Linked DNA regions of Saccharomyces cerevisiae S288C. Each later gene encodes a partner of the first gene's protein in a complex. Each region holds a gene or a part of one and is shown in the gene's direction. Other genes may lie near its edges. The genes, in order: SWD2, CFT2, PTA1 and FIP1.

Region 1 (7,674 bases):
GATAACTGCATTTTAAAAGAGGTTTTCATCCTTTCGTTGCCTAGTAGTACCTTGGCTAAACCAATTCTTAAATATTCCTGAACAATTTTGGATAAATTATGAAACATATCATCATCTTTCCCCAAATTCGATAATGTGAAACATAATAAGAGTACTAAAGTTAAGGGGATCCAAAAGAATAGGAGCATCTTATCATTCTGAAAGTTTTGCTTCTTGGAAAAGATTGTGTTGAACCCGACCTGTAAAGCTTCTAATTCATCGTCTTCAGAAGAAGTTTGAGAATCATCCACGGTCATTTGGGCAGAATTATCTGGCCCAATCTCCACAGATTTGCTACCAAGTTCCCAGTTTTTGGGTTTTTTTGGGAACAAGTCTTCATACTTTGGGAGCTCGTCATTTAAACGAGTTAGCATTCTGTTCCATAAAGATCCGTCAGGCTCTATGCTAGTCTTAGTAGTTTTTGGTATTTCATTTGGCTTTGAAGAGAAGTCCTTGATTTTGTGGGTGTTAAAGAACTCCAAAGCAATCTCATCTGAAGATGATTCACAATCACTTATGTCATAACCTGAATCCGAATCTAGGATTGAGAATGACGTATTGTCATTACAGTTGGATTGTTCGGGGGCAAGGGCAGCGGAATCCGCCAATAAATATTTTCTTTCTTGGACATAGTCATGATCAGCATCGTCATCATCAAATAAACTTGAGTTGAAACTTGACTGGGATACATTTCTCTCAAACGGTTGAGTATCACTGGATCCTGTTGTATTCTTCGTTAATCTAGTCAGAATGTCGTCAAACAGACTGGTTTCATAATTAGAATATCTGGTCTTGTTGACAGTATAATTCATCAGGAAGAACTGTTTAGCGATAAAGCCGTTTCTGGTTTTCTTCATAATATTAACGTTGCATTCTAACAATAGTCTTATAATTCTCAAGTCACCATTAATACACGCCATATGTAGCGGAGTAAAACCAAATAAATCTTGGTCGTTCAAATGCGACCCATATTTGATTAGTAATGAGACAAGACTATACCAGTTATTGAATGCTGCCAGATGTAATAGAGTTCTACCCCTAACGTCACACATGGAAAGATTGACGGTAGAGAGATTATTATTTCTCTTAAATGACTTAATAACTTCAGTGATCAATTGTTCATCGTTTATATTTCGCATCATATTCGTGTACGAATTTAAAGAGCTATTCTGTGAGTGTAATCCTGCGTTATTATTAGATGGAGATGAATCACTGCCAACAATCCTTTTAGCAATATTTCTTGCATCTTCCAGTTTACCGTTCATTTTCAGCCCCACAATTTGCAGAGCCAATTCAATTAGTTGCCTATCAGTATCATCAACATAAGTAAAGATTGCTTTCTCACCGGTATACTTGTTTAAGTGCAGAATGTCATTGGTACTATTGCTGGTGGAAACACTACTATTGCTATTATTTCTCATAGACGTTTCACTTGGGTCGACTATGGTTACCAAAACCGGTCCAGGTTTAGATGAAGGCGGTAAATAAGTCACCATCGTAGATTCATTCCAGCATTGGCTGGACAATGCTATATTTTCGCCAAACTTGATGATTAAGCCCTGCTTAAACTTTGAGCCAAGTAGAGTCACTTCTATACCTCCGTTGATGGAACCTTGTGCGGGGATGACACGCTGAATAGAAGGCTTGTTATTTAGCGCCACGGGGACACTATTATGGTTCGATATATCTTTGGAAGAATCGATGAATTTCTGGGGAAGACGGGAAAACGTATTAGGCGTAGACATAAAAGGCTCGTTTACCGAACGCTGCCTCTTGCCAGTGTGTCTCGCAGAGGCCGCACTGAAATCACTAGTTAATGTAGTAAGAGCGGGATTAGATGAACTATTAAAACCTGTGGACGACCAAGAGTCTAGTGAACGATGTAAATTGTTGTCGTTGTTATTAGAAAAATGAATATCTGAAAAAGAATGGTTGCTGTCCTCACTGGAGGAATTTGGTGATGGAAAGTGTCTGTTGTTGTTCATCATTGCGGTATTAGTCTTAATGTTGTTTTTGTTATCATTATCATTGTTGTTGTTATTACAATTGCTATCAAGCATACAGTTCGTAGAAATGACAAAATTTTTACTGTTAGAAGGCAGGGGGAATTCGGATGGGAAGTTTAAGTCACTTTGCGGCGATGAAAAGGATCTAGTGTCATTTGTCATTGGCGAAACCTGGGCATTGCTGGTGCTGGTTGGAGTTGTGGTATTGCTGGCATTTTTCTTGTCCATGATCATTATGGGATCTGTTATAGTTTTCGCCAAGATATCGCCGTTATGGTCCCTTAGAAGGAACAAAACTACAAACCCGTTAGTTGCCTTGTGGTGTCTGCAGTAACAGACGATTCTCGTCGGTAAGTCGAAATTGATACAGTTAGAGTTACCACTCAAACCGTTATTACTAATGATGAAAAGTTGTTTACTATTGAATATGATTGCTCTTTTGTTTTCGTTATTTTGCCAGATGGAGTTGTCGTTCAACCCAGACTTTCTTCTCGACGCTCTTCTTTTTTCCCTGTTGATACATCTATTACAAACATAGGTCTGCTTGAAGTTGTTGCTATTGTTGTTAGATGCACACAAAAGAAAGGCGTCCAAGAAAAGAGTCCTTTCGTTGATGTCCCTATTGGGTATTGTCAAGTTGGTGGGATCGTCCGAGCTGGTGAAAAACTTGTCCTTCGCTATACAATCAGAGGGCAGATGAATAAAGAAGTTTTTTCTTGCATGTGCGTTTCTAATCCGAAAACTCAGCTTCATCTGAGTTTCCACCCTAGAAACCTTCGGCAACCCAATAATTTCTAGAGACAATGGAAGGGACTGCGGGTTAATGTTGATAAAATCCAGTGGATTCGCGTATGGCGTCCTCAGAGGTAGCTTTCTGCCAAATTGAACGTGTCGATCAAGCAATCCTTGCAAAGATGCGATGTCATCCCTGAGCTCCCCTTCATCTTCCTTACCTGGTGTAGTAGTACCTGCTGTTATCATTTTCTCTTGGTTCAGACTCAATAAACCAGGGTCTTGCAGAGAGGACCCAGAGTTGAGCAGAGCAATATCCAGTAATTCTGATTCTAGTAAATCCAAGTCCGGAGAGCCATCGTTGTGCTGTATGTTGGCGCTATAGCTGTGGAGCATCGAGGAAACGTTTCCTGTGCCACTCATCATTTTCAGTGGTGTACTACTGTTGTGATTAGTCGTTTAGAGGATATCTAGAGTATAATTATTTTGAATGAGTTTCGTTGACATTTTCAGTTCATGCGATCATCTTACTTTCATGGTTGCTCCTTGCCGTTAAAATTGAAACGAAAAAAGCGGGAATACAACAATGTCACCTTACACGAGCAGAGAAAAGGGCAGCAATAGCGACAATAACCGATAATGCCAGGCCTTCCAGAGCCCTATGCTGACCTATATTCATCATGACGCTATCCATATGCAACTAGAGACCTGCTGGGAAGCGCTCTCTCATTTTTGAAGGTTGCAGCAGTGCTCGCGCCGGTTTTCGATTGGGCCTCGTGATAAAACACATCAGCAAAGTTTCGCTTTTGACATTCTGTTAAATTGGTCCTTAACTGTTGGTGCAGACCTACTGCAAGACTGTTAATTATGGTATATTATATATCAAGTGCTGATACAACGTACACCATCGAAAATGGAGGAGTACGATTATTCAGACGTTAAACCTTTGCCCATTGAGACAGACTTGCAGGATGAACTGTGCAGGATTATGTATACCGAGGATTATAAGCGGTTGATGGGACTCGCAAGGGCTCTGATCAGCCTTAACGAACTGTCACCCAGGGCACTACAGCTAACAGCCGAAATTATCGACGTGGCGCCAGCCTTCTACACCATATGGAACTACCGATTCAATATCGTCAGGCACATGATGAGTGAATCCGAAGACACTGTCTTGTACCTGAACAAGGAATTAGACTGGCTAGATGAAGTTACGCTGAATAATCCAAAGAACTATCAGATCTGGTCCTATAGACAGTCTCTTTTGAAGCTACATCCGTCTCCTTCCTTCAAAAGAGAGCTGCCTATCTTAAAACTGATGATTGATGATGATTCCAAGAATTATCACGTTTGGTCGTACAGAAAGTGGTGCTGTTTGTTCTTCAGTGACTTTCAACATGAGCTCGCCTACGCCAGCGACCTCATCGAGACAGACATTTATAACAACAGCGCATGGACTCATAGGATGTTTTACTGGGTGAACGCTAAAGATGTCATTTCAAAAGTGGAATTGGCCGACGAGCTCCAGTTCATTATGGACAAGATTCAATTGGTTCCGCAGAACATCAGTCCGTGGACCTACCTCCGTGGTTTCCAAGAGCTATTCCATGATAGGCTACAGTGGGATAGCAAAGTAGTCGACTTCGCCACAACCTTCATCGGTGACGTATTGTCACTTCCAATTGGCTCACCAGAGGATTTGCCCGAGATCGAGTCCTCATATGCCCTGGAATTCCTGGCATATCACTGGGGGGCAGACCCTTGTACCCGAGACAACGCTGTTAAGGCCTATAGCTTGCTAGCAATCAAATACGATCCTATTAGAAAAAACTTGTGGCACCACAAAATAAATAATCTGAACTGAATATATGTAAGCACTCTATTTGTACGAATATATTTACGTGTGTACGTGCATGCACGCAAGTTTAATCTAGTTCTACAAACCTACTGCTGTATTGAGATTGATCTCTTCCCCTTCGTTTTGGACCGCTATCATTGATGCGTCCAAACCCGTCCTCGTTCAACTGCTTTCTGAAAAATTTAGAACGTTTAACCATCTTCAGCGTCCTTGTGTAGCACATCTCTCCCCATGACAGATATCTATGTATCCAGCCGCCCAACTGATACTGGTTGTAAAAGAATATCATTCCCGTCTCCCTTCTTATTGCCGATAGGAGCATAGCTACCAACGTCCCCTCTACTACCCACCTTATCATTCCCAACATCTTGCAATATGTTACGATCTGATCTTCACTCTCTTTTGCTCCTTCTTTTTGCTGTTTAACTGTTACCTACACTCATTTATTCGATACCTTTTTTTACCCATTTTTTCTTCATGCAGTTTAGCACTAGTACATTAAAAAAGAAAGAAAAAAAATGAAAGCAAGACTAAAATATCGAGCAAAGCACAAGCAAATACACCGTTTGTCCTTTTAGCATAGCCAACAATGACCACCGTGTCCATCAATAAGCCCAACCTGCTGAAATTCAAGCATGTTAAAAGCTTTCAACCTCAAGAAAAAGACTGCGGACCCGTAACCTCATTGAATTTCGACGATAATGGCCAGTTTCTACTGACCTCTTCTTCCAACGATACAATGCAATTGTACAGTGCCACGAACTGCAAATTCTTGGACACTATAGCCTCTAAGAAATATGGCTGTCACTCCGCTATCTTTACGCACGCACAAAACGAATGTATCTATTCCTCTACAATGAAAAATTTTGACATTAAATACCTTAATCTGGAAACAAACCAATATCTAAGATATTTTTCCGGTCATGGCGCCCTAGTGAATGATTTGAAGATGAACCCCGTGAACGATACGTTTCTATCGTCGTCATACGATGAATCCGTTAGGCTTTGGGATTTGAAGATCTCTAAACCGCAAGTTATTATACCAAGTCTCGTACCAAATTGTATCGCATATGATCCAAGTGGCCTTGTATTCGCATTGGGGAACCCAGAGAATTTCGAAATAGGGCTATATAATCTGAAAAAAATTCAGGAGGGTCCTTTCTTGATAATTAAAATTAATGATGCGACTTTCAGTCAATGGAATAAATTAGAATTTTCTAACAATGGAAAGTATTTATTAGTTGGCTCCTCGATAGGAAAGCATTTAATTTTTGACGCATTCACAGGTCAACAATTATTCGAACTAATAGGAACAAGGGCCTTCCCGATGAGAGAATTTCTAGATTCTGGATCTGCTTGTTTCACACCAGATGGTGAATTCGTCCTTGGAACCGATTATGACGGTAGGATTGCCATTTGGAATCATTCTGATTCAATAAGTAACAAAGTATTAAGGCCGCAAGGGTTCATTCCCTGTGTTTCTCATGAGACCTGCCCCAGGTCAATTGCATTCAACCCTAAATATTCGATGTTTGTTACCGCAGACGAAACAGTAGATTTTTACGTGTACGATGAATGACTGCTGCTACTGCATTGATATACTAGAGGATATAATATATAACGAACATTTTTTACCTACTGTATAACGACGTATACTCTATACATCTTGTGTATTCTTTACAAATAATCGTCAATGTTGGGGTACCTTACGTCAGCGTTCTCTTCACACCATTCTGACCAACTTTTTAGGTACTTGTTACCGCACCTTTGCAGAACTTCTATATTGCCAACAACAACTAGTTGCCTTCTGGGTCTTGTCATGGCGACGTTCAGTCTTCGTTCTTCCTTAAGGAAACCAACTTCAAATTTTTCATTGCTACGAACTAAACTCAATATGATAACATCTTTTTCACGGCCCTGGAACCCATCTACAGTTGATATTTCAATATCAGTTAATTTTAATTCATCATGGATCAATTTTTTCAGATGAGAAACTTGTGCATTGTATGGAGAAATAACACCTATAGAGTTCTCCGGGACGTTGAATGACCTTAAATTCTCAATGTGTTCTTTTACAATGGCAATTTCGCCCTCATTATACTTAGATCCAAGGATAGTAGCTTCATCTGCAGTCTCTTGAAATTCATCACCTTGCGTATCATACCAAATTAAAGGAATTTTTGTATCGTCATCATCCTCAGATGGCGTAGCATCGACGGTCGGTAGGTCTATCAAAAGTCTGTTCGCGACCGTTGCATCGGCCAATAGTTTCCCATTATACATTGAGTGCGATGGAAATTCCATAATTTTTTGATTCATCCTGTATTGAACGTTAAGAAATTTTACCATATCCCTTTTCGGGAATATTTTGATTATTCTGTCAAATAGTGTGGTTTCCAAATTGTGAATGACATTTTTGTCGTCTTCTGTTTTGATTGTGGGTGGCAATTGTTTATTGTCACCAGCAAGGACTAGTTTGTGGAACTGATTTTGATGTGCAATTAGTGGGATCCAGCATTGTGGTTCCATGGCCTGTGAGACTTCATCGATGATCAAGGTATCGAAAAGCTGGAAATTTGGATCATCTCTATAAAGGGAGCATAGTTCTCTCGATGATGAACCGTGTAAAGTGGTGACGACTATTCTCGATTGTATTATTAAGTCCTTAATGGTTTTGAACTCTCTTTTCTTTAAATCTTTGCGCAGCAGTTTAATTTCGTTCCAGTTTTCTTTACGTTGCTTATAGTTTTTTAGTTTTTTATTCTCCTGAATTAATTTGTCAATCTCCTGGGAAATGTCCTTCACAATAGTATTCTTTTTACTAAGTATATCAAGAGAGTGTCTTTTATTAGAGTCTAATAGCCTAGCAGGATGACCGATTCTTAATAATAAATTATTCGGCACAAGAGGCGTTAGCCTCTCCAGAATCGTATCCACAGAAATATTGGAAGGCCCACAAATTAAGATTCTCTCCTCAGGATTTTTAATTAGCAATTGCTGGATCAATTCAATTAATGTGAATGTTTTACCCGTACCAGG
Region 2 (9,273 bases), on another chromosome or scaffold:
GGCTACGAACCAGAAGATTCCAGGTTCAAGTCCTGGCGGGGAAGATTTTTTTGCTCCGACAATTATGTCGCTACCCTTCAGTTTTGTTGAAAATGATGCTTTTATCGTTAACTTTACTTATCTTTATTGTTTGCAAGATTACTATTAATATTAAAGAGGGTCTAGCAAGGATACTGCGATTGTTTCTAAATATTTCAACTTTCTACGTTATTCATCTTTAGGAAGCTAAAAAGCATTCAAAAGATTACTATGAAGTTAATCTTTAAACATAGTTTGATGAGCGTCTATGCAAATAGAATAACTTCAAAAAATTTTCTATTCCATTTTTGGAAAGCCCCAAAAAGCTATATTCTATAATTTCTGAATCTTATTGTGCTTGTGGAGGTCACCCCAGTTTTCTATAAATTATTATTCAGCTATTATCCCAATACGACTAAAGGTATTGAGATTCACGGATATTTTTTCCCCTGCAACTTTCACAACTGGAGGGCTCTGTTTCTTGATTTTCTTTTTGTCATATAAACATATCTTAGCGCGATTGCTAACAAATAGTATAGATATCATAATTTTTCCTCATCCTGCACACAATTACCTATAGCAGCGTCATTCGCACCGCCCTCCTCATTGGATTTTTTAACTGTATTTCTCGTTTTAGATGAGTCTTCAACATTTCTATCGTTTTCATAAATATCAGTTTTACTGTCGGAATTTTTATTGCTCTCAGGACCACCTTCAATATCTTTATCTGCAACGGTTTCGTCCTCATTAAAATTTTCTGCATTACCCTCAAAATTCTGTTCATTTTCTTTATCATGATCAGTGTTAATGTTCGTAACGTCTGTAAAACCATTGCTAAAATCTTGACTGTCTTCCTTATCGCCATTTTCATCGCCCTCACCGTCATCGCCATTTTCATCGCCCTCACCGTCATCGCCATTTTCATCGCCCTCACCGTCATCGTCATCGTCATCGTCCTCACTATCATCGTCATCACCACCATCATCATCATCATCCTCAGAGTCCTCATCAGTATCATCATCTTCATTGTCCTCACTATTTCCCACCTCTTCACTTTGTTGATCTGTCTCCGCATCAGGTTTATAATGTAAACCCAAGCCCATCATAGCTTTCTGTATCGCGTTCGATGTTTTACTTCTGTTTTTGAGATCTTCTGTGGATTCAGTAACATCTTCATTAGCAGTATTCTTTGGTTTATTGAAATATTCCTTCCATGAATTCCATAAGTTGGCTGCTGGCTTGTCTGTATTCTTTCCAGGATTTACAGAAATTTGGGAAACAGACTTTTTTGACTCGATGCTTTCCTGGTCTTTGATATCCTCCTCGCTTTGATGACCATTTTTATTGCTTGAAGAGTTGCTAGAGCTTCTTTTTAAATTATGAAATGTGGCCAAAAATCGTTGCTGTAATAGAGACAGAGTGTCGGCACCGTTATATATATGCTTCGGAGGAAACAAGTCGAACAATCTATCATCTGTTCTTGAGTTGAATATCAGAAAATTTTGAGTCTCTTTCCAACTCTGAACCCAATTCAAATTGAATAAATGAACGGGATTGGAATTTAGCATATCCTCAGGTATAGTCTTCAAAGCTTGATCATTCTCTTTATGCAGGTCCAAATAATCACTTAATTTAACACTGGAAAGTAACCCCGTTAAATAGTCCTCGAATTGCCACCTAATGAAATCCTCACTGCCTTCAAATTGAGAGTTTTTTGGAGTTTCATCATCATTTTCGTTCCATGTGTCTGATACAATTCCAGATATAGATTCAATCCATTTTTTATCATGACTTGACAATTGGAGGACGGGGTTCAAAGTCTTGTCCAGAATATCTACAGTGGAATTGTCTGTATTGACAAATATGTGGCACAGTTCCTCCTTTTGTTCAGCAAGCAATGTGTTGGAACTTCCAATCATAAAAAACAAAGTACGTTCTGACCGTATGTCATTCATTTGCTGCAGTGGAGTATAGGGTGAAAATAGTCCACCTTTTTCGAAAATCGGTAATGGAAAACCTAAGAATCTCAACACTGATTCTCGATTGCTTGATTTAAACGAGTCCACAACATTTAATTTCGAAATATCCTGAAACAACTGAGGACTGCCAGAATCCTGCAAATTTGACATCAAGTCCGGAATTAAGCTGATCAGACCGAACTGTAAATTACACAAAGCTTCCACGTCGTTGCCGTAAACTATAATTTTTTTTTCAAGCATAATTGCTTTCAATAAGACTAAAGCGTTTCTCTTAAAATCATGTAGTATCTTTCTCAGACATAACCCAATATAAAGACGATTTTCGGCATTTCTGACCAATGATGCAGGCGTGTAAATCGACTTCAGGTTTTCGTATAAAGACTGGATTATCTTCCTGTCCCCAAAATCATGCTGCAAGAAAAAAGCATTAGTCACAATACTAAGTTTGTCCTTGATTTGACCGAAGATTGGTTGCCTTGAGATGACTACAATTGCCTTCTGTACAGTAGATCGTGTTACATCCTTATCTTTAGTGACCAATTCATCACTCTTTATCTGTCTCGAGCAAGATATGGCAAACAAAGTCGTGTTGTCATTGATGCTATCATCACTCAGATCAGTTGCCCCGTTGGGAGGGCTCCTTTGTCTTCTTTCATCATATAGTAATGTGAAATAAGTAAATGTTTCTTCAAACGAGTGAGAACCATCAGGAAGGGCCTGGAAGGGTAAATTTGGCCATAGTTCTGCACTTTGGGTGCCCTCAGGTAAGCCATACCAGTATTCTATTTCAGGGCCTCTTTTGTGATGAAAGTCCACAAGGCAGATACCGAAGATGACTGCTTCCTCGTGTTCATCCATTATTTTGACAACAAGGTTGCAGCGAGGCAGAATGTATATGTTAGTTTGATATGGTCTTCCTGCTTGGATTCCTTTAAGGCTTCAAAATTTTCTTGAAAAGGAAACTTCGTGAATGAGCTGTAAGGATGCTTGATCGGGCCGTACATTCTTATGCAAGATCCATTATTGACTGCTCTCTGTTGGGTTAGCTTCCATATCTTCCGTTACCCGTTCGTATAATCATTACCCGACGGACAAGCATCATTTCAGCGGCTATTTTTGCTAGGCAAACCTCCTAAGCAATGATACTTCTCAAACGTTCAATGGAAGTAATAGAAGTTCAACTTACCCCATTAATAATCCACACATTAGAAGGTTGGGACAATAAAAATAAAAAGCATTAATTAGTGTAAACTTTGCTCCCAAATGCAAGTCTAAGGTAAGTTCTTTGGTTCATGGAGTTTTTGCAGTGTAATCTCACGTGCACTAGACTGAGTAAAGCGAACCTGAGTTCAAGAAATAATGATTCACCTATGACATATAGTCCAACTATACAAGCAATGAACCCTTACGGATTGAAGTCATTCAATGTTCAATGTTTGTTGTAATAAGAAATATTACTAGAAAAAGATTTTTTCTTTCGGCGGCGTTTTCCCGCTTTTCTTAAACAATCTGCAGTTTTAACATCGAATTCACGAATATTTGTTCGCTAAAGAAATAACACAGAAGATGAAATGAAGAACATACATTGAGGGCGACGAATATATATGACTTATAAATACAATTGCTGTGATGATGGATCAGGAACCACCGTTGGTTCAGTGGTACGATTTGATAACGTCACCTTGTTAATCGATCCCGGTTGGAATCCATCTAAAGTATCGTATGAGCAATGCATCAAGTACTGGGAAAAAGTGATACCGGAAATTGATGTAATAATACTATCACAACCAACAATTGAATGTTTAGGTGCTCATTCCCTTCTGTACTATAATTTTACCTCGCATTTCATATCCAGAATTCAAGTTTACGCAACTCTTCCTGTTATCAACTTAGGGAGAGTTTCCACCATAGATTCATATGCATCTGCAGGTGTTATAGGTCCATATGACACAAATAAACTCGATCTTGAAGATATTGAGATATCTTTTGATCATATTGTACCTTTGAAGTACTCGCAATTGGTAGATCTACGATCAAGATACGATGGATTGACTTTACTGGCGTACAATGCTGGTGTGTGTCCAGGTGGTTCTATTTGGTGCATTAGCACATACTCAGAGAAATTGGTTTATGCAAAGCGATGGAACCACACTAGAGATAACATACTAAATGCTGCTTCTATATTGGACGCCACTGGTAAGCCCTTATCAACTTTGATGAGGCCCTCTGCAATAATTACTACTTTGGACAGGTTTGGCTCCTCTCAACCGTTTAAAAAACGTTCAAAAATCTTTAAAGATACATTAAAGAAAGGTTTGAGTTCGGATGGGTCCGTTATAATACCGGTAGATATGAGTGGCAAATTTCTGGACCTGTTCACACAAGTTCATGAGTTATTATTTGAAAGCACAAAGATCAATGCGCACACACAAGTACCTGTACTTATTCTGTCTTACGCGAGAGGAAGAACTCTAACATATGCCAAATCAATGCTCGAGTGGCTGTCCCCTTCACTACTTAAGACATGGGAAAACAGAAATAATACTTCTCCATTTGAAATTGGATCACGGATCAAAATCATCGCACCAAACGAATTGAGTAAATATCCTGGTTCAAAGATTTGCTTCGTATCTGAGGTAGGAGCTTTGATTAATGAAGTGATAATTAAAGTTGGTAATTCTGAGAAGACAACCTTGATTTTGACCAAGCCGAGCTTTGAATGTGCGTCGTCTTTAGACAAGATACTAGAAATTGTTGAACAAGATGAAAGAAATTGGAAAACATTTCCTGAAGATGGTAAATCATTCCTCTGCGATAATTACATTTCAATAGACACCATAAAAGAAGAACCCTTGAGTAAAGAGGAAACAGAGGCGTTTAAAGTACAGCTTAAAGAAAAGAAAAGGGACAGAAATAAGAAAATTCTACTGGTGAAAAGAGAGTCTAAGAAACTGGCTAACGGCAACGCAATCATAGATGATACCAACGGAGAGAGGGCAATGAGAAATCAAGACATTTTAGTGGAAAACGTCAATGGAGTACCACCGATTGATCATATTATGGGGGGTGACGAAGATGATGATGAAGAGGAAGAAAACGACAATTTGTTGAATTTACTCAAGGATAACTCTGAGAAATCAGCAGCGAAAAAAAATACGGAAGTTCCTGTAGACATTATAATTCAACCAAGTGCCGCTTCAAAACATAAAATGTTCCCATTTAACCCCGCTAAAATCAAGAAAGATGATTATGGTACTGTTGTAGATTTTACGATGTTTTTACCTGATGATTCTGACAATGTTAATCAAAATAGCAGGAAAAGACCTCTCAAAGACGGTGCTAAAACCACGAGCCCTGTAAACGAAGAAGATAACAAAAATGAAGAAGAAGATGGTTATAATATGAGTGATCCAATTAGCAAAAGGAGCAAACACCGTGCTTCTCGTTACTCGGGATTTTCTGGAACCGGAGAAGCAGAAAATTTTGATAACCTTGACTATTTAAAGATAGACAAAACGCTCTCCAAAAGAACAATCTCAACTGTAAATGTCCAATTGAAATGCTCCGTAGTAATCCTAAATTTACAGAGTTTAGTTGATCAAAGGTCTGCATCTATTATATGGCCATCGCTAAAATCTAGAAAAATAGTTCTTTCCGCCCCCAAACAGATTCAAAATGAAGAAATTACGGCAAAACTTATCAAGAAAAATATTGAAGTGGTCAACATGCCATTAAATAAGATAGTGGAATTCAGTACAACAATAAAGACCCTGGATATCTCCATTGACTCCAACCTCGATAACCTTTTGAAATGGCAACGTATCAGTGATAGTTATACAGTTGCCACTGTCGTTGGCAGGCTGGTTAAGGAGAGCCTACCGCAAGTGAACAATCATCAAAAAACAGCGTCAAGGAGTAAACTAGTCTTGAAACCATTACACGGTTCATCTAGGAGCCATAAAACAGGTGCGTTGTCAATCGGTGACGTTAGGTTAGCACAATTAAAGAAACTTCTCACAGAGAAAAACTACATTGCAGAATTTAAAGGGGAAGGTACACTTGTCATAAATGAAAAAGTAGCAGTCCGCAAAATCAATGATGCAGAAACTATTATCGATGGTACGCCTTCCGAACTTTTTGATACTGTCAAAAAATTGGTTACGGATATGTTAGCAAAAATCTAGCCTTCTTGTATACAGCACAAATAAAAGGTTCAATTTACGTTCGTGGACTGCCCACAAAACAGTATGTGACATAAATTGCTGTGTATCTCGCACCGCTATTATCTGTATATAACATTCTAACTCACTTTTAACGATATTAGCATTATTGATTTCTTTCTTTTTCTGCTGAATTTCACCAAGCGGAAATTTTCAAAGCAGAATTTTTTCCCTAATTTGCTACAAGTGCTATTCTATCCCACAATAAAAGGAAATTGTTGATGAGTTTTAGAAGGATTAACTCTAGATACTTTGAAAATAGAAAAGGAAGCAGTATGGAAGAAAAAAAAGCAAAGGTTCCTCCAAACGTCAACCTTTCGTTATGGAGAAAGAACACGGTAGAAAGCGATGTCCATCGATTCAATTCTCTTCCATCAAAAATTAGTGGGGCCCTAACTAGGGAACAAATATACTCCTATCAAGTCATGTTTAGGATTCAAGAAATTACCATCAAACTGCGTACGAACGATTTTGTGCCCCCCTCCAGGAAAAATAGGTCACCTTCTCCGCCACCAGTTTATGATGCCCAAGGTAAAAGAACGAATACCCGTGAGCAGAGGTATAGAAAGAAACTAGAGGATGAACGTATTAAACTTGTTGAGATAGCCCTAAAGACCATCCCTTACTTCGTTCCTCCGGATGATTACAAGAGACCTACCAAATTTCAGGACAAGTATTATATCCCGGTGGATCAGTATCCTGATGTCAATTTTGTTGGTTTATTATTAGGTCCTCGTGGACGTACGTTAAGAAAGCTGCAAGAAGATTCGAATTGTAAGATTGCAATTAGAGGAAGAGGTTCAGTCAAAGAAGGTAAGAATGCAAGTGACTTACCTCCAGGCGCCATGAACTTTGAGGACCCCTTGCACTGTTTAATTATCGCAGACTCGGAAGACAAGATCCAAAAAGGTATAAAAGTTTGTCAAAACATTGTTATCAAAGCGGTGACATCTCCGGAAGGCCAGAATGACTTGAAACGAGGACAACTGAGAGAATTGGCGGAACTTAATGGTACTTTAAGAGAAGATAACAGGCCCTGTCCAATCTGTGGTTTAAAAGATCATAAAAGGTACGATTGTCCAAACAGAAAAATCCCAAATATACAGGGCATTGTTTGCAAAATATGTGGACAAACTGGACATTTCAGTAGAGACTGTAACTCATCGTCTCAAAGAATGAGCCGTTTTGACAGAAACGCCACGGTAAATAATTCTGCGCCAATACAGAGCAATGACGTACACTATAATAGCAATACTCATCCAATTCAAGCACCAAAAAGATCTCGTTATGACAATAACTCGACGGAACCTCCTTTAAAATTTCCGGCTTCTTCACGTTATGCACCATCACCTTCACCTCCTGCGTCACATATTTCGAGGCAAGCTCAAAACGTGACGCCTACACCCCCTCCCGGCCTAACATCAAGTAGCTTTAGTTCCGGAGTTCCAGGAATCGCCCCTCCCCCATTACAAAGCCCTCCAGAGTCGGAACAACCGAAATTTTCGCTACCTCCACCTCCCGGTATGACTACGGTACAATCCTCAATTGCACCTCCTCCTGGCCTAAGCGGTCCTCCAGGGTTTTCTAATAACATGGGCAATGACATTAACAAACCTACACCTCCGGGACTGCAAGGGCCTCCCGGATTATAATACACTCCCATTATACAATATCTGCATTTTTTTTTATTTGTGTTGAAGGTATGTAGTCTCTATTTTGCATAGTTCCTTTTTTTGTTGGTTTTTTGCCTTCCTGGTTATTATTAACTTTTGATATTTAATTTACTTACTAGCTTATTCTACTACTGTTTAGTTTCTACGGCCTGAACTACAATGACAAAAATATTATTTCACGATACCCTTACCTTTATTCAAAGTGCCTGTTCCTGTTTCCATTTTTTGGCTAGTTCCAAGAACTTTGATGGTTTTGGCTTGTCATCATCGATATCATCAGGAAAAATGTAATCCACGAATTCTTCTTCCACACCGTTCTGTAACCTCACTTTTTTGATTACTTTAGGGAATCTTTTCTTGACGGTTTCTTGATCGAGTTCAGTACCGTAAGTTTCTTCATAGTCTTTTAGCGCTTCCAAAATAGACAGTCTCCCTTGTTTATCATCCTTCTCCTTGAAAAAAACTATCGCCTCTTCAAAAACTTTTCTTGCCTCCAATTTATTCTCATCGGTAATTTCAAACTCTATGTCTTCATCCACATTTTCGCTTTGCAGTTTTGCTAAATCTAATAGTTGTTGCTCCGTCGGGGTTGAAGTTTGATACATGGCGAATTCGATCCAGCTTTGGGGGGAATATTGGTTGAGCTCCAAATATCTTCTATAAAGCTTCCTTGCCTTTTCAAATTCTTGTGATTCTGTCTCAAATGTTATGTATTTTTGAAGTAATACAATTTTAGCCTCCTTTGTTAAGAAATCAGAATTTTCATCTAGTGCAATTGTATATATACCTCTTACTCTATCCCAATCTCCTAAATTTTCTTCTAGTTCTCCATATTGTGACCAAATTTGTAGATCAGAGGGCTGAAATTCAATAAATTTCTCATATATTTTTCTCACACGATCAAATTCCTTCAACTTCACTTCCAACTCGATATATCCTTTGAAAGTTTTAGCCTTAGGACATAAACCGATTGCTTTACCCAAAATTTTTCTCGCCTTCGGTACATCATCATGTCGTATCAGAAATTTAGCATACATTAGCCATATTTTGGAAAAAGTGAAATGTTTATGAGGGATGATGTCGTCAATTAACCTCTGAAAAAGTTCTTCTTCTAAAAGCGAATTTTCCAATTCTAACTCAACATAGCATATATATCTCATCCACAGATAAATATACCTTTTCCACTGAACATTTTTTGATAGTTCTTTTGGTCGGCTGTCCACAATAGCTTTCTCGAAAGTTTGCATTATTTGTTTGGGGAAACTTTCTGAAATGAGATCCAAGTACAGCCACCAGGTGTCATAATCATAGGCGTTATTACTCAATATTGTTTCATACTCCATTTTCCTTTTATAGCTAATAGTTTCTTCTATTGAGTTTATG
Region 3 (8,765 bases), on another chromosome or scaffold:
AAGCAATTCACGACTATGGAAATGCATCTTTTCAAATCACTCGATTGGTCCATCTGTCAGTCGGCAACATTCGACTCCTACATCGACATCTTCTTGTTCCAATCTACGTCCCCGTTATCGCCTGGCGTTGTCCTTTCTGCCCCTTTGGAAGCTTTCATTCAACAGAAACTGGCCTTATTAAATAACGCTGCTGGTACTGCTATTAATAAATCGTCCTCTTCTCAAGGCCCCTCTTTGAACATCAACGAGATCAAATTGGGTGCCATTATGTTGTGCGAGTTAGCTTCCTTCAATCTCGAATTATCATTTAAATATGATCGTTCACTAATTGCGCTGGGTGCAATTAACCTCATCAAATTATCTTTGAACTACTATAATTCAAACCTTTGGGAAAATATCAATCTGGCTTTGGAGGAAAACTGCCAAGACCTAGATATTAAATTGTCAGAAATCTCTAATACTTTATTGGATATAGCAATGGACCAAAATTCTTTCCCCTCCAGTTTCAAATCAAAATATTTGAATAGCAATAAGACATCTTTAGCAAAATCTCTCTTAGACGCATTACAAAACTATTGTATTCAATTGAAACTGGAAGAATTCTACCGTTCACAAGAATTGGAAACCATGTACAATACTATCTTTGCTCAGTCCTTTGACAGCGATTCATTGACTTGTGTTTACTCAAATGCTACTACTCCAAAGAGCGCTACGGTTTCATCTGCGGCCACAGACTATTTCTCGGATCACACTCATTTAAGAAGGTTGACCAAAGATAGCATTTCTCCACCATTTGCCTTCACTCCAACCTCATCTTCATCCTCTCCATCTCCATTCAATTCCCCTTACAAGACTTCAAGTTCAATGACGACCCCAGACTCTGCATCACACCATTCACATTCAGGTTCGTTCTCTTCTACCCAAAATTCTTTTAAAAGGTCACTGAGCATCCCACAAAATTCAAGCATCTTTTGGCCAAGCCCACTAACTCCCACCACCCCATCTCTAATGTCAAATAGAAAATTATTACAAAATTTATCTGTGCGTTCAAAAAGATTATTTCCTGTTAGACCCATGGCCACTGCTCACCCATGCTCTGCCCCCACCCAACTGAAAAAGAGATCAACTTCCTCTGTGGATTGTGATTTTAATGATAGTAGCAACCTCAAGAAAACTCGCTGAAACGACAAAAAAAAAATGCATTTAACAACAAATAAATTAAAATTTGCAAAGCAAATACGTTAACATACATTAATGATCTTTTTTTCTTTTTGTTTTCACAGGACTCATTATTTCTTTAAATATACTTATATTACATTTGCATAGAATTACAAAAAAAAAAAAATTATAAAAACGCACAACCTAAAATACGATTACTATCGTTTTTTCTCCTTACTTCCTCTAGTCACATTATACATTTTTTTTCATCCTTCACAGACGTATCTTAATACTAAGTGTGGATCAATATAATGGGTATAGCTTGAACATCTGCCCCTCTCTATCTAATGTTTTTTTCTTGAATTATTTAGTATTTGCTGTATACTAGTTTTATTTATCAATACAGACGAATGTTCAAGAATTTCTCATTGTTTTCCGCCAACATTTCTTTAGCAACATTCCAATCTTCATCGCTACCTAACACAACAAAATCCCCATCTTCGTCCTGATATTTGATCTTGGTGATTGGTGAAATGTTGTTATTATGTGTATTCGAAATTTTAGAATTGATCGCCATTATCAAGTCGTCAAAATTCCAAACTTTTTCTACCAAAAGTGTGAAGATCTCGCTACTAGAGGTATTATTAGAGTTGTTATTATATGATATCCTGAAGAGTATGGAAGATTCTGGAATAGAGTTCTTGAAATTTTCTGAAATGGATTTAATTTCACTTTCGAAACTTGATGAAGTGGTCCTCCGTTTAGGCAGGACATCCGAAACCCTTTTCATATGAGAACTTGAGAAAGAAGCCATACTATCGTGTGTCTGGCGGCTGTTGTGATGATTCGGTGTATTCATAGTTGTGGTGGGTGACATCATTGAAGATGATTTGGCTGTCGATGAAGTCGTCGATGTTGAAGAGTGATGTCTTGCCTTAAACTGCTCATTTTTCAGATCATGAATCAACTGTTGTAAACACGATGACCAATTATCTCTTGTTTCCTCATTTTTGAATTTCAAAAGGAAATTACCTTGCTCTTTTATGGATTCCCATGTTATATTTAATGACCGGTTGTTTTGCGGTATGATTTGATTCAGATTCATTATCATAATTCGACCTCTTAGATCCAGCTTAGGTTCGTTAGCGGACAGCTTGAATAATGAGGATGATGATGAATTGTTGGAATTGTTGTCACTACTATTGGTACTGGAATGTATTATCGCCGCTGCTGAAGACGAAGATAAATGGATATTATTACTGCTACTACTATTGCTATGCCTCTTATGGTAACTGTGGTGAGGGCTGCCATTGTTGTCCGTTATGTTCGAGGCGGAGATTGATGCTGAGGTTGAGGATTTCTTCTTAAGGATTAGTGATGATGCAGATTTCTTAGTCACTACCTCTGAAAAAAGGATGATGATTTTTTCAAAAAGATAAACCTCAAATTCTCTTTCAGGTTCCGAGGAGCTATTTGTTGTTGAAATGAACACTTTATCGAAATATAATAACTCACCGAACTTGGAAATTCTATAACCCTTCCAGTTGACCACTCTACCATAAAGTTTCTTCACCACTTGATGATTTTCTGTTCTTCTTTGATTTTCGTTGATACTTCTCGCAATATTTTTAGAAATATCTAAAGCAGCTTCAAGTTCTTTCGTATTATTATCGTCACTCGATTCAGCAAGCAATTCTTTGACCAACAGGGGATATCTACAAAGCCTTTGCACGGGTTTATAAAGGAAGGATTGCAATTCCAGTTTATTGTTAATTATGAACCGCTGCGATTCATCAACCCTCATCTTGTGCAAAGTTGAAGAGAGAAATTCGATGGCTGCATTTTGGCCAATAGACCAAGGCTCATACAACTTAAAAAAATGTTTGGAATGCATGAAAAGAGCCCCGATTCTTTGCTTGGAAGGTTCTACTAAAGCATTTATTTCCAAGGATATTAGAAATCTTCTTTGAAAATCTATAGCATCACCCAAATTAGGGAACAACATGTACAACTCTTCAGACGTTATTAGATTGCTGTCTAATAACTGCTGTCTATATTTATCCAAAATTTCCAAATCGTGAACATATTTTCTTTCCGTTGCAACGAATTCCTTGATAATTTTAACATACTCGTTATGCTTCTTCGAAGACTGCTGAGGCTGATGTCGGTGTTGGTTTTCTGCGTTCATGATTTGCTGTGTCTTACTCTTAGAGGGGAAAATAGTAGGGCTGGAATTCATTAGCGTTTCTACTACTTCTAGCACTTTGACCAGCTGGGAAGTAGAGTTGGCAAAAACGTCGGATATAGTGAAAAGCTCCTCATCGTTAAATGCAAAGTGTTTCTTGCAGCCCAATATAAAGTCATAAATGGATTTTTTACAGACTTTCAAATCGTCAGATGCTATTACCGGTAATTTAAATTGCGGCTTCACAGAGTTGAAAAGTATACAGAGGGGCGCACCTTGTTGAAACAGCTGTGATAGTTGTGTCACAGGGTCGCAATCCATGGTAATGGGCAAAATACCCATACTAAAAGTCAGTAAAGTGTCCTCCATATTTGGGGTGGCCGAGGGATTCGAATTCGTGTATGATATACCTTCCATCGACATGAGACTGGTAGCTGTGGAGATAGAGCTAGACCTTAAAGTTGGTGCCAAGTCGCTACTGTCCCGGTTAGCGCCATTGGACTTGAGCAGTTCCTGATGCTGCTTTTGGGATAGCAAAAGAGATTGCCTTTCACTCAAAACCTCGCTCGATTGGTAGGCCAATTGTAAAAAAGGTTTGAGTTGAGGTAACACCTCCAGTCTTTTCCGGATGTTTGCGCATATATGGAACAGTGAGTCCTGTTCCGTGACAGGCTTGTTCATGACATTTTGCATGGGTATGGAGATGGAAGTTGCACTTGGTTTTGGTTTCAAATCGGATAAAGATGTGCCCGAGGCAAAACGGGTTTGGATCGCCATGATCTCTCGGGTTGGATTAGCAGACAGGTCTTGATAGGGCTAGGCAACAAATGATAACAGCAATGGTACTCTTCTGCTATCCTACCATAGCCACATTCTTGTTCTGTTTCTACCTTAAAGCTTCTGTTTTCCACTTCTTCCCACCAGTGCGTCGTTCTTCGCGATTATCGTACAATATGATATTTGTACAAGTAGTGATATACCAATTTCTATACTATATATATATATTATGTAGTAGTATGTAGAAAGGGCTCTTCCCTATGACAGTCTCTTCCTCTACTGGCTCTTCTTGCCCCAGATCGATCTCTGTGCTTTGTAGAATAGCTTGTCCATGACAGTGCCCACAGCTAGGACACCACCAATGCTGGTGATACAATTCAAGATGAAGCCCGACCAAGTCTGCCCGTGCTGTTCCTTATTGATGACTTTCAATGGAGACATTTCGAAAAAGACGAACATACCAGGGATACCACCCCTAACGTGAAGTGTGTTTGGATGATCCTTGTCCCTTCCACCGGCAAGAGGTCGGGAATGAAAAGTGGCGCTGAACTGCGCGGTCTCAATGACAACATTATCCAAGTACTCATATCTGGTGGGGACAATCTTGGCAAAATACGAGAACTGGTGAAAGTGTGTGTTCCTGTCCGGGAACACCTGGCGTCCGTCCAAGGGAGAAGTGGCAACTACGGCGCCGCCGTGGCGCTTATCGTTTCCTAACAACTTACTGTGGGACTGGATCGGCTTCCCAAAGCTCAAATGATTGATGATGTGGTTGAAGTTCAAATTCGAAGTCTTGTCGTACAAAGAAGTATCATGAAAATGTCCATATGCATTCTGGTAGGGTTTTCCAGGGGCAAAGTGAAGATTCCCCTGAATTCTGTTAATTTGTGCAGAACCTTTGATCCTGCAGCCTTCATTCAAGTGCTCGTTAATCTTGCTGACATAGCCCTCTCTTTCACACTGCTCGATATTCTTCCCGTCGAAAAAAGCCCAGCCTGCCTCCAAGTATGCTGATCTCACTGCATCACAGTCTTGGCAGCAAACCTTCTCTTCCTGTGCTAGATTCTCATTCTGCGACTGATCTTTGGCACCGTAACATGGCCCACAATAGTTAGGATCGTTATTAACCGGCGCGGTTCCGTCGCCGTTCCCACCCACATGCAACTCAGTAGCATCTCCCACGGGGCGACCCTCGCTATTCAACCTAGACATCGTGAACCCTGCGTCAAGAATGTCTAGTTGCATCTCTCCAGAGTCGTCCATAATATCGAGATTCACCAGGTCACATGGCATCGATGGAAATGTCACATCCATATTAAGCTCCAGCTTTGCGTGTCGGTCACGGTCCACCACCAATTGTGGCCTTGTTACCACAGAATTGAACTGTCCCCACTCGTTCACCAGCAGAAATAACGTGGTCAAGATGCACGATAAAGTGATCAGCCCGCCGGCCCTGGTGCGGACTCGTACGTCCTCTTCGGTCTTAGCGAATGCGTCCAGCGACAGCAACGTGGACCTTTTCATGATGTCTATTGTGTCTAGCTATGTGTGTTATATCACTGTCCTACTCCGCATGTATACGAGACATAAAACTAGCTTTCCTTTATAATGGCGTGGTTTCCACTCCATCTTGATGGAAAATCGCCGTTCTGATGTTCAAGTCGTATATAGTGACTTGATCTAAAAGTGAAAAGTTGCCATATTTCGATACCTTTTAACCGTTAGTACTTGACTGAACAAATGGTTAAATCGTGGCAAGAAGCATATAACTACCACTAAGCAGCGCAATGTCATCTGCAGAGATGGAACAATTGTTACAGGCCAAGACACTGGCCATGCACAACAATCCAACGGAGATGCTGCCCAAGGTGCTCGAAACTACGGCATCCATGTACCACAACGGTAATCTCAGCAAGCTGAAGTTGCCTTTGGCCAAGTTTTTTACACAGTTAGTTCTAGACGTGGTGTCGATGGACTCTCCAATTGCGAATACTGAGAGACCGTTTATTGCTGCTCAATATCTGCCACTACTTCTTGCTATGGCGCAATCCACCGCGGACGTACTAGTGTACAAGAATATCGTGCTTATTATGTGCGCTTCATACCCGCTGGTGTTGGATCTGGTTGCTAAGACATCAAACCAGGAAATGTTTGATCAGTTGTGTATGCTGAAGAAGTTCGTGCTCTCGCACTGGAGAACTGCATATCCTTTGCGTGCCACCGTTGACGATGAAACGGATGTCGAACAATGGCTGGCGCAGATTGACCAAAATATCGGCGTGAAATTAGCGACCATCAAGTTCATATCTGAGGTCGTGCTGTCGCAAACTAAATCACCCAGCGGCAACGAGATTAATTCATCTACCATCCCGGATAACCACCCTGTGTTGAACAAACCGGCTTTGGAGAGCGAGGCTAAGAGGCTTCTTGATATGTTGCTAAACTACCTAATTGAGGAACAGTACATGGTCTCGTCCGTTTTCATTGGTATCATCAATTCTTTATCCTTCGTCATCAAAAGAAGGCCGCAGACAACAATAAGAATTCTTTCCGGGCTGTTGCGTTTCAACGTCGACGCCAAGTTTCCCCTAGAGGGCAAGTCTGACTTGAACTACAAACTATCCAAGAGATTTGTTGAAAGGGCGTACAAGAACTTTGTGCAATTTGGGCTAAAAAATCAAATCATTACAAAATCCCTCTCATCCGGATCAGGGTCATCGATCTACTCCAAGCTGACCAAGATTTCTCAAACTTTACACGTTATTGGCGAAGAGACCAAGAGCAAGGGAATTTTGAACTTCGACCCTTCCAAGGGCAATAGCAAGAAAACGTTGTCCAGGCAGGACAAACTAAAATACATCTCACTATGGAAAAGGCAATTATCCGCGTTATTGTCTACTCTAGGGGTGTCCACAAAGACCCCCACGCCTGTGTCCGCACCTGCAACGGGCTCTTCAACCGAAAACATGCTTGATCAACTGAAGATATTGCAAAAATACACCCTCAACAAGGCTTCACACCAGGGCAATACTTTTTTCAACAACTCACCCAAACCAATCAGCAACACCTACTCATCTGTGTACTCATTGATGAACAGTTCGAACTCCAACCAGGATGTGACCCAGCTACCCAATGACATACTTATCAAGCTGTCCACAGAGGCCATCTTGCAAATGGACAGCACGAAACTGATCACCGGATTGTCTATCGTTGCTTCGAGGTACACGGATTTAATGAATACGTACATCAATTCTGTACCGTCCTCGTCATCATCAAAGAGGAAATCCGACGATGATGACGACGGCAACGACAATGAAGAAGTTGGAAACGATGGCCCAACGGCTAATAGCAAGAAAATCAAAATGGAAACAGAACCACTAGCGGAGGAACCAGAGGAGCCCGAAGACGATGACCGAATGCAGAAGATGCTTCAAGAAGAGGAAAGCGCCCAAGAAATCTCAGGAGATGCCAACAAATCAACTTCTGCCATTAAGGAGATCGCACCCCCCTTTGAACCTGACTCATTGACGCAGGATGAAAAACTAAAGTACCTCTCAAAGCTGACCAAGAAACTGTTTGAATTATCCGGTCGCCAGGATACTACCCGGGCCAAATCTTCGTCTTCCTCCTCCATATTACTGGACGATGACGACTCCTCGTCATGGTTACACGTCTTAATCAGATTGGTTACGAGAGGAATCGAAGCACAAGAGGCCAGTGACCTGATTCGTGAAGAACTGCTTGGCTTCTTCATCCAGGATTTCGAGCAACGTGTCAGTCTGATCATTGAATGGCTCAATGAAGAATGGTTCTTCCAAACCTCGCTGCATCAAGATCCCTCTAACTACAAAAAATGGTCCTTAAGAGTTCTCGAGTCTCTGGGTCCATTCCTTGAAAACAAACACAGACGATTCTTCATCAGACTTATGAGCGAACTGCCCAGTCTTCAAAGCGATCATCTTGAGGCACTGAAGCCTATCTGCCTGGATCCGGCAAGAAGTTCCCTTGGTTTCCAAACGCTAAAGTTTCTCATTATGTTTAGACCCCCAGTGCAGGACACTGTTCGCGACCTGCTGCATCAGCTAAAGCAAGAAGATGAAGGCTTACACAAGCAGTGCGATTCACTGCTTGACAGGCTAAAATGATCACAACCATTACATACATCATATATACGCATGTGTAGGGTCTTCCTTCAACTTGCAAATCAATGTTTTATCTATCATTCTGTGCTATAGGGACCTCGCAATTTTGACACTTCCGTAAGGAGTCATTCAGCGGCGGAGTCACTTTCGCTAACTCTTTCTTCTATATATACAGACCAACAAACAAGTATCTAATGGGAAAGGGAATCTCCACATGAAGCATACCACATCGACAATGTTACGCACTACTAGACTATGGACCACCCGCATGCCCACTGTGAGCAAATTGTTTTTGAGAAACAGCTCCGGCAATGCCCTAAACAAGAATAAACTACCATTTTTGTACTCATCCCAAGGACCTCAAGCCGTGAGGTACACTTCCCAACATGAGTGGATAGCTGTGCATCAGGACAAGACTGCCTTTGTCGGAATTACAAAATACGCCACTGATGCCTTAGGGGACGCTACCTATGTTGAGTTGCCAGAAGTGGGCACTGAGATTG
Region 4 (7,767 bases), on another chromosome or scaffold:
TAGACGTGGGTAGGAAAAAAGTGAGCGCCAACACTATATAAGAAACCGTTTCTGGATACACCCTCGTGAAGAAATAGGGTCCTGCATTGATATTTTCAAACTTATATAATTAATAATAATTAATAGCGCTTAGTTTAAAGAATTTGAACTATTTTTTGGCCAACTTGGAGAAAGAATGTGTACTTGATTATTGGCATTCCGCGTATTTACGCGGGGATAAAGAGAAAACAAAGGAGAAAAGGAATTTCCTCAATTCCGATGACTAGTACCTCCGAGCAAGCAATCATCGGCGAACAGATGTAAAAAGAGAGTTTTAAACACTGAGTTTTATTTATCAAGAACGTACCCGTACAGCTATCGTTTCAGGCAGATAACAAAAATGTGATTGAAATTAAAGTAGTTTTGTTTGGAATCATGATAATTAAATATTTCATTAATTTGAAGTTACTAAGTAATGAAGCTAGCCCGAGAAACGCAAATGCTCAGAGAGCCCGGCAGTAATTGTGTACACAGAACTATACAAGCCGCTGGATAAAGCTTATTCGTTGATGTCATCCGCTATTACCTCTCCTAATCATGGCTGCAGGAAATCTTTTCTCTCAACATCTTGTACCACTTTAAAATGCGGTAGCAAAGGACAAACGGTAAAACGTTACACTGCCACGGTGTTATAGCAGCCGCAAAGTGAGTAAGCATGTGATGGTACCTTCAATACTGCGTTGGAGAAAAAAAGTGCGTATCTTTGTTTACTTTTCGTCTTCGAGGGGAAGGATCAAAGGCGCATGCGTGCCCGCAGGAGGGGGCGCCAGGATTGGGGGTAGATACAACATCAAGGAAGCGTCATGGTGGCTTCTTGGGTCTTAAATACGCAGGGAATTAAAGTTTCATTTATGTGCCTTTACATGCACTCAAAAACCTTCTTAGTTACAGGAAAAGGTAAAGATACGATAAGAAAAGCCTTTGAACTGCCCATCCTGCATCCTAACACAGATCTAACTCACTATTCGGGTAAGGAAGTGTCATGCATGTCTGCAAAGGGACTAGAAGAAAGTTACATGATTACATAAGCAAAAAATCGGAATTACAGACACACCATTTTTTATCCTGCGGCCCCATTTCCGTCTTCGAGGGAAAGGATCAAAGGCGCTTAGCCCAATCTTGATGATTCACCGGGGAAGAAAGGAATTACAGAACCCCCAGCCACGTAACACAGCCAATTAGTTTTCTATATCGGGAAACGTGATTGATTGCGCAATTTTGGCTGCATCAGAATACATCGATGAGATCTAGAGCACCCTTTGATGGTTTAAGTCCGGTTTAAAGTTAGTAGATCAATGATTTCGTAGTGCATTTTAAAGGGAGCGCTTATCCATGGGTGATTGCGTTTACAACGTTTTGTGTGTACTCATAATAGCCAATCTAAAATTAAACAACAACAACAACGCACAATTAATATGTATCAGCCCCAATACCTTTTTCTCTTACTGTAATTTACTACTAAATTGGGGTCGGACGTTTTTGATCTTGTTCCTTGCCTGTTGTTTACCTTGTATATTACTTTTCCTCTTTTATGTATTTAAGGTAAATTAATTATCTTTTGATCTTAATATTTTTCTCAAAATGCTTCCCTTGTAGTTCGGTATTTTTGCTTCTTCAGATATTTAAACTACCGTATACCATAACTGTTTCGTGAAGTAGATACAAACATCGACTATCCTATTACGATTTATTTTACATTATCATATTATAAATCGACCAGTAGTATTGTTAAAGATTAAAAGCATAATATACTACTGTCATTAGTCACCTACAGAGAAACAAATTCCTACTGGCACCCATTACTGGTGAAAAAGGAAAAAAATAATAAAAGAAAAGCTTTTCTATTCCTCTCCCCACAAACAAAATGCAAGCGGATATGCATGGAAAACTTCACGCTGCCTTAGAAGATGGTTTCTTCCTCTTTCCTTTTGAACAGCAACAACAACCTAACATTTATTATGACACAACCACCGATCAAGAAGACCGTCCTTGTTTTTCTTTTGGATCTACAATTTCCCCTAGAAGTTGGCATTTTGAAAAGTCTGACAAAATTGCCTCATCTCAGCTGCAGAACTTGGTTCATACACAACCAATTCATTTAATTAATCCTCAAATATTGTTCAATGAAGAGTTTCTGAATTTGGAAAATATTGATTCTCAGCCTATTTCCAAGGAAACGAAAACTACGAAGGACTGCACAATGGCAACTGGTCCTGAAAGAGGAAAAAAGAGCTCTGAAAGTACCAGATCCTCTTCATTATCATCTCTTTTTTCTAATGATGAATCCGCATCTACGTTCCACTCATCATTCAATAACCATGATAACTTTCAAAAGAGCAACAGAAATGGAGATGATATCGATATTAGTGACACAATAAAATATGAAACTAATACAAATGCACAAAAAGATATCAAAATATTCCAAGAAAATTTTGAATTCAATGAATTCCCATACACACAAGACTTCTACCCATATACCACTAATTATACCTATTCAAAACCCACAAATATTCATGAATCAATAAATTCAAAAAACACGGATTCATACTCCCAATATCAAGATCAGTTTCCACCACATACTGATAACATACATTCCTTTAATAATCGTCACTATAGCAACCATAAAAGCACTAATTGTAATTACTATAATAATACCAGCAATAATAACAACGCCTCCGATAATGTATATGAGGCAGATCCATTTATAGATGAACCTCAGGTGCCCTCCTACTATTACCCATTAGAAATTGCCTTCGACGTTGAAAAATCACCACCGCCATCACTACAAAAATTAAATTCAAAAGAGTTAGAATTCCTAAAAAAGTTGAACTCCAAACTGTCAAGATATGCTGCGGCTTACTCCTTCAGCAGTTCTAATGATCAAGATTATTATGACAAGGTCAGGTTTCAAGAAATATCCTACAAGTTTAGTAAAACCTATTCTTAATTCTCGAAAAGTACTACAATCTTCCCCCTTCCCTCAAAATATATCCATTCACACTCATTTCTTTATTTCCATTGTCTCACTCAAATTGCTAAGAATTTGTGTATTTGCATATATATATATTATATATAGGTATATATATGTATTCAATGTCTCAAGCTCCATGACATAATACCGTAGCGTTATTAGCCTTATCGTATGTCGCGATGGGAAAGGAGATTCGTTTTAATCTTGAAAAACCTTCGTAGCGAATAATGCGACATAAATCTTGAGAGAGTACATCACCAAATTCACTTTGTTAAACCGCACCATCGTGCTTTGCATTCTTATTCCTTTTGCCTACACTAAAATTATTAGCATTTCTCTAAATGAGCTCCAGTGAAGACGAAGACGACAAGTTCTTGTATGGTTCCGACTCCGAATTAGCACTACCTTCATCTAAACGATCAAGAGATGATGAAGCAGACGCAGGTGCGTCCAGTAATCCTGATATAGTTAAAAGGCAAAAATTCGACTCTCCCGTGGAAGAAACTCCAGCTACTGCCAGAGATGATCGTTCTGATGAAGATATCTACTCTGACTCCTCAGATGACGATAGTGATTCTGACCTAGAGGTTATCATAAGTCTGGGTCCTGACCCTACTAGGTTAGATGCAAAACTACTCGATTCTTATTCTACCGCAGCGACATCTTCAAGCAAAGACGTAATTAGCGTAGCTACAGATGTATCCAATACCATCACAAAGACATCAGATGAAAGACTAATAACAGAAGGAGAAGCAAATCAAGGTGTAACGGCAACGACCGTAAAAGCTACAGAGAGCGATGGAAATGTACCGAAAGCAATGACTGGTTCTATAGACCTGGATAAAGAGGGAATCTTTGATAGTGTTGGCATAACGACAATAGATCCTGAAGTATTAAAGGAGAAACCCTGGAGGCAACCGGGGGCCAACTTAAGTGATTATTTCAATTACGGTTTTAACGAATTTACCTGGATGGAGTATTTACATAGACAGGAAAAACTACAACAAGATTATAATCCTAGGAGGATCCTAATGGGCCTATTATCCCTCCAACAGCAAGGGAAGTTGAATTCCGCGAATGATACAGACTCAAACCTCGGTAATATAATTGATAACAACAACAACGTAAACAATGCAAATATGTCTAATCTGAACAGTAATATGGGTAATAGTATGTCTGGAACACCAAACCCTCCCGCTCCACCAATGCATCCAAGCTTCCCACCCTTACCTATGTTTGGTAGCTTTCCACCATTCCCCATGCCAGGTATGATGCCACCCATGAACCAACAGCCTAATCAAAATCAAAATCAAAATTCGAAATGAATGGGGATCTGTGAAATTGAAATAAAAATATATCGTCCATGATTCACGTATTTACTCTTATTATGTGTATTTAATTAATCTTTAAACTAAAGACCTCTCAGTCATCAGATTATATGCTGTTTTCATTCCATTAATCACCTTCTAATTAAAATCTTGCTTCAAATTATGACCGGTTGTTCGAGTCTTTTCCTCCTCAGCTAACTTTTCACAATACTTTTTCACCCAGGGTTGATGGAAAACATTCAACTCAACAACTTCCTGGAGCTTATTGTACCAATCACTTTTTTCCTCATTAGAGCATTCCGCGTTGAAAGTAATTCTTTCACCATCGTCAAATACTAGCTGGAAGCATTCATTAAAGAGTACCCAATCTGTAAAATTCCTTTGCCCTCCATTATCCGCCTGGATGTCTTCATTACGTAGGACTTTCGTGACTTTCAACAGATTAATATCGATCTTAGCCTTTCTAGAGATTTCATGATAACCAGAAAGTTGCGAGCCGTGCAGTTTGAAAAACCTGTTTTCTATCTTTCCTTTCAGATCACCACCATCCTGCAATAAATACCCTTCTTTATAGATATTTTGTTGCAACTTGTATTTGGAAACAATCTTATTGACCAATGAAAATTGTTTGGGAAATTGTTCAAAGGCAGAAGTTCTTTCTAAGAAACATGCTTCCACATCCAACGAAGCCACTTTGTGAGGCGCCTTGCGTGGTAACTCGTACAGCCTTTTTGAGCCGTGAATTTTGTCTGCGATTCTACTCCACTTGTTAATCATATTGTAATGCATATGACTGGTATTAAATGCCACGTTTTTCAAAAACTCTTCATTAATTTCAATTTCACAACGAGCAAATGAACCGTCTTGTGCAAATAGATAATCCCACTCATCTTGTTTAGGTTTTTTCTGTACATACTTCTTTTCAAATTTATACTTTGTCTTTCCAAAAAAACTCTTACCCACCGGCACCTTGTCTACTATTTCGACCAATTCATGTCGAGGTTTTTCATATTTACATTTTAATGTGATAACACATTTTTTGTAGCTATCTCTTTCAGAAGAAGCGGAGGATGTTTCGGCTTTTCCTTTAAAATCTATGGGCAATTCAAATTCCTTATTGATCCTGATGTTACCGTCATACGGAAGCGACTCCCAGGGTGTCTGAACGACATTTTCCCCATTGTCAAAAACAATAGCATATGTTGCTCTATGACTCTTAGTTCCATATAATGCAAGCGTGGAAATAGCCTTTATACTTAAATAAAGTGTTCCCATATCCGGAAATTCTTGTTCAACGTCTTGTGGTTCTTCAAGTTGAGTTATCGTTTCTTCTTTTGCTTCGACGTTATCTTTTGTCTGCGCTAGCAGTGGAGGAATATCTTGTTTCAAACCATCGGTTTCTTGCTGCGTCATTGGCTCTATTTCCTCTTCAGCCTTAATGTTTATTTCATTATTCTCTTGTTTGTTTCCAGCTTTCACGACCTTGAAAGGACTGCTAACATGCCGTTTTATTGGACTTATACTACGAACTGGAGTGGAAGGGGTCATTTTATCTTCTTCGAAATCGTCGAACATGTTCAAAGTGATGGCATCACTATTATTCATGCCCTCTGGACGAGAGTCAGTATCGCTGAAACTTGCCTCATATCCTTTAATGCTTGCAGCTAGCGCAATTGAAACATCCTTAACTGGTGTTTTCAGCATTCCAATCCCCAAACCAGTCCTTGGTTCAGTTATACGCTCTTCTCTAATTTTTTCCAAATCTGCGTCATCTTTAGTATCTGATTCTAATAATTTTTGCAGGACGTCGGGGGCAATAGGTTGCTTTCTTATGGAAGGTGGCGGTTTTAGTTCGTAACTGCTTTCCCAAAGAGAATTGAAGCTTTTCTTTGAACTGTCTCTTTGAAAACTGGATGAATCATCCGGCCCATGATTGAAAGATGTGGAGTCATGATCCAAAGCGTCTAGAAAATTAGCAAAATCCTGACCCAATTCCTCATCAAAGGATAAAGATAGTAAATCGCCCCTATTAAAAGTGATATCACCCGCACTCTCTATTTCCCGAATGGAAATTTCAGCTTCGTCCTGGGTATTGGTTGGTAATTTCTGTTCATCGAGGCCTACATTTGTTGTGATATCTTGTTCGCTTAGGTGCGTACTTAATGGGATATTTTCGTGTTCTTGCGGTTGTTCTACCTCCAAGAAATGATTCTGAAAACCAGAATCTTCGCCATTAAGTTTCATGATGCTTGGCCTAATAAGTGGAGCGTGACCCTTTTGAGTTCTTATGTTATCTTGAATCCTTTTAGAGATGAGTGTATTTCTTCTCATAGGGTCGAGTGCATTCCATTCACTGTTGCTTAAAATGTAATCTTCATTATCGTAGTAATTCAATGAGGATACTCTGCTTTTTGGATTGTAAATCCTACTCCTGCTCACTATTCTAGGTTTGAATTTGAACGAAGTTGATCCATTATCCTTCTTAGAATCGACCGTAGATGCAGTGGTAATCGAGGATTGTTGTGAAAATTGGGAGTTGGCAATGGATTCTGGTGAATTGGATTTGATTTCCTCTTCTTGGATATGCCATATAGAAATGTAATCTGATGGTTTCATGGATCTGGTTAAATCGATGGAATCATTGGAGGTATCATTTTCATCTATAAATGGCTCGTTGAATTGAATTTCTTCCCATCTTGGCAGGGGTGGTAAGAGGGGAACGTGTTCCGGCTCTTCATTTTCTTCGACTTTATGGTACTCACTTTCATCTTTCTCGGTTTCAATGTTCTCATCCTTAGTTTCAACTTCCTTCTCTTCAATTCTGTCTTTATTACGAGCCTCGCTCACCGACTGATCTTCACATGATGATGAAAGATCATGTTCTTCTGCAGAAGTTTTTGCCAATGGTTCATTCACTTCAGCGGCCTCTCCATGGTCGACACCAATTTCACTGCCATTTATTATATTTTCTTCTGGACTCTTTGTTCTTTGTCCATACAGGCTCTCCTCGTGTTGAACGATTCGGTATTCCTCTCCATCCTTAAAGTTCCTTTGGAATTCACTTTCATTATTTAGTTCAGTGAATGTTTCTTCTGAAGAATCCTTTTGAGGAATTATTGCCGGTTGTTCATTTGCATGTTCACTTTCTTGATGAAGCTTTTTGGTATCCCAGTCTTCTTGTCTCGTTACTTTATAGTCAGCAATGTAGCTTTCCTCTGACTTTGTAGATGTTGAAATATTTGCGTCTGTTTCTTTGTCTTCATTCCATACGTCATCCGATGTAGCATTAAGATCTTTGAATTTGGGTTCACTGTGCGCTAGAGAATCTTCCTGTGAAAATTCTTGAACATTAGCATTGGTCCCTTTATTAGAGTATACTATGGACCTAGTGTCATTTTCACCCAAAAAGGTAACGGGCTCATTGCTGCA

The links.
Region 2: SWD2 (region 1) and CFT2 share a complex: the UniProt entries of both Saccharomyces cerevisiae proteins name them as parts of the cleavage and polyadenylation factor (CPF) complex.
Region 3: SWD2 (region 1) and PTA1 share a complex: the UniProt entries of both Saccharomyces cerevisiae proteins name them as parts of the APT complex.
Region 4: SWD2 (region 1) and FIP1 share a complex: the UniProt entries of both Saccharomyces cerevisiae proteins name them as parts of the cleavage and polyadenylation factor (CPF) complex.

Annotation. Positions count from the first base shown.
Region 1 is NC_001143.9:398,878-406,551, forward strand, and holds SWD2 (WD-repeat containing protein SWD2), read left to right. Parts: upstream 1-5,224; coding exon 5,225-6,214; downstream 6,215-7,674. Other genes in the region: SPT23 (Spt23p), read right to left, coding at 1-3,203; RAM2 (bifunctional protein farnesyltransferase/protein geranylgeranyltransferase), read left to right, coding at 3,691-4,641; MCO12 (Mco12p), read right to left, coding at 4,703-5,002; ATP-dependent 5'-3' DNA helicase HCS1, read right to left, coding at 6,313-7,674. UniProt on the Saccharomyces cerevisiae protein: The COMPASS (Set1C) complex specifically mono-, di- and trimethylates histone H3 to form H3K4me1/2/3, which subsequently plays a role in telomere length maintenance and transcription elongation regulation. Involved in mediating RNA polymerase II termination.
Region 2 is NC_001144.5:374,384-383,656, forward strand, and holds CFT2 (cleavage polyadenylation factor subunit CFT2), read left to right. Parts: upstream 1-3,601; coding exon 3,602-6,181; downstream 6,182-9,273. Other genes in the region: AVL9 (Avl9p), read right to left, coding at 561-2,855; mRNA splicing protein MSL5, read left to right, coding at 6,439-7,869; CLF1 (Clf1p), read right to left, coding at 8,088-9,273. UniProt on the Saccharomyces cerevisiae protein: RNA-binding component of the cleavage and polyadenylation factor (CPF) complex, which plays a key role in polyadenylation-dependent pre-mRNA 3'-end formation and cooperates with cleavage factors including the CFIA complex and NAB4/CFIB.
Region 3 is NC_001133.9:58,195-66,959, reverse strand, and holds PTA1 (RNA-processing protein PTA1), read left to right. Parts: upstream 1-5,907; coding exon 5,908-8,265; downstream 8,266-8,765. Other genes in the region: cyclin CLN3, read left to right, coding at 1-1,182; Rho family guanine nucleotide exchange factor CDC24, read right to left, coding at 1,556-4,120; retrograde cargo receptor ERV46, read right to left, coding at 4,397-5,644; GCV3 (glycine decarboxylase subunit H), read left to right, coding at 8,498-8,765. UniProt on the Saccharomyces cerevisiae protein: Essential in pre-tRNA processing. Component of the cleavage and polyadenylation factor (CPF) complex, which plays a key role in polyadenylation-dependent pre-mRNA 3'-end formation and cooperates with cleavage factors including the CFIA complex and NAB4/CFIB.
Region 4 is NC_001142.9:599,788-607,554, reverse strand, and holds FIP1 (cleavage polyadenylation factor subunit FIP1), read left to right. Parts: upstream 1-3,351; coding exon 3,352-4,335; downstream 4,336-7,767. Other genes in the region: transcription factor IME1, read left to right, coding at 1,904-2,986; BUD4 (Bud4p), read right to left, coding at 4,477-7,767. UniProt on the Saccharomyces cerevisiae protein: Polymerase-regulating component of the cleavage and polyadenylation factor (CPF) complex, which plays a key role in polyadenylation-dependent pre-mRNA 3'-end formation and cooperates with cleavage factors including the CFIA complex and NAB4/CFIB.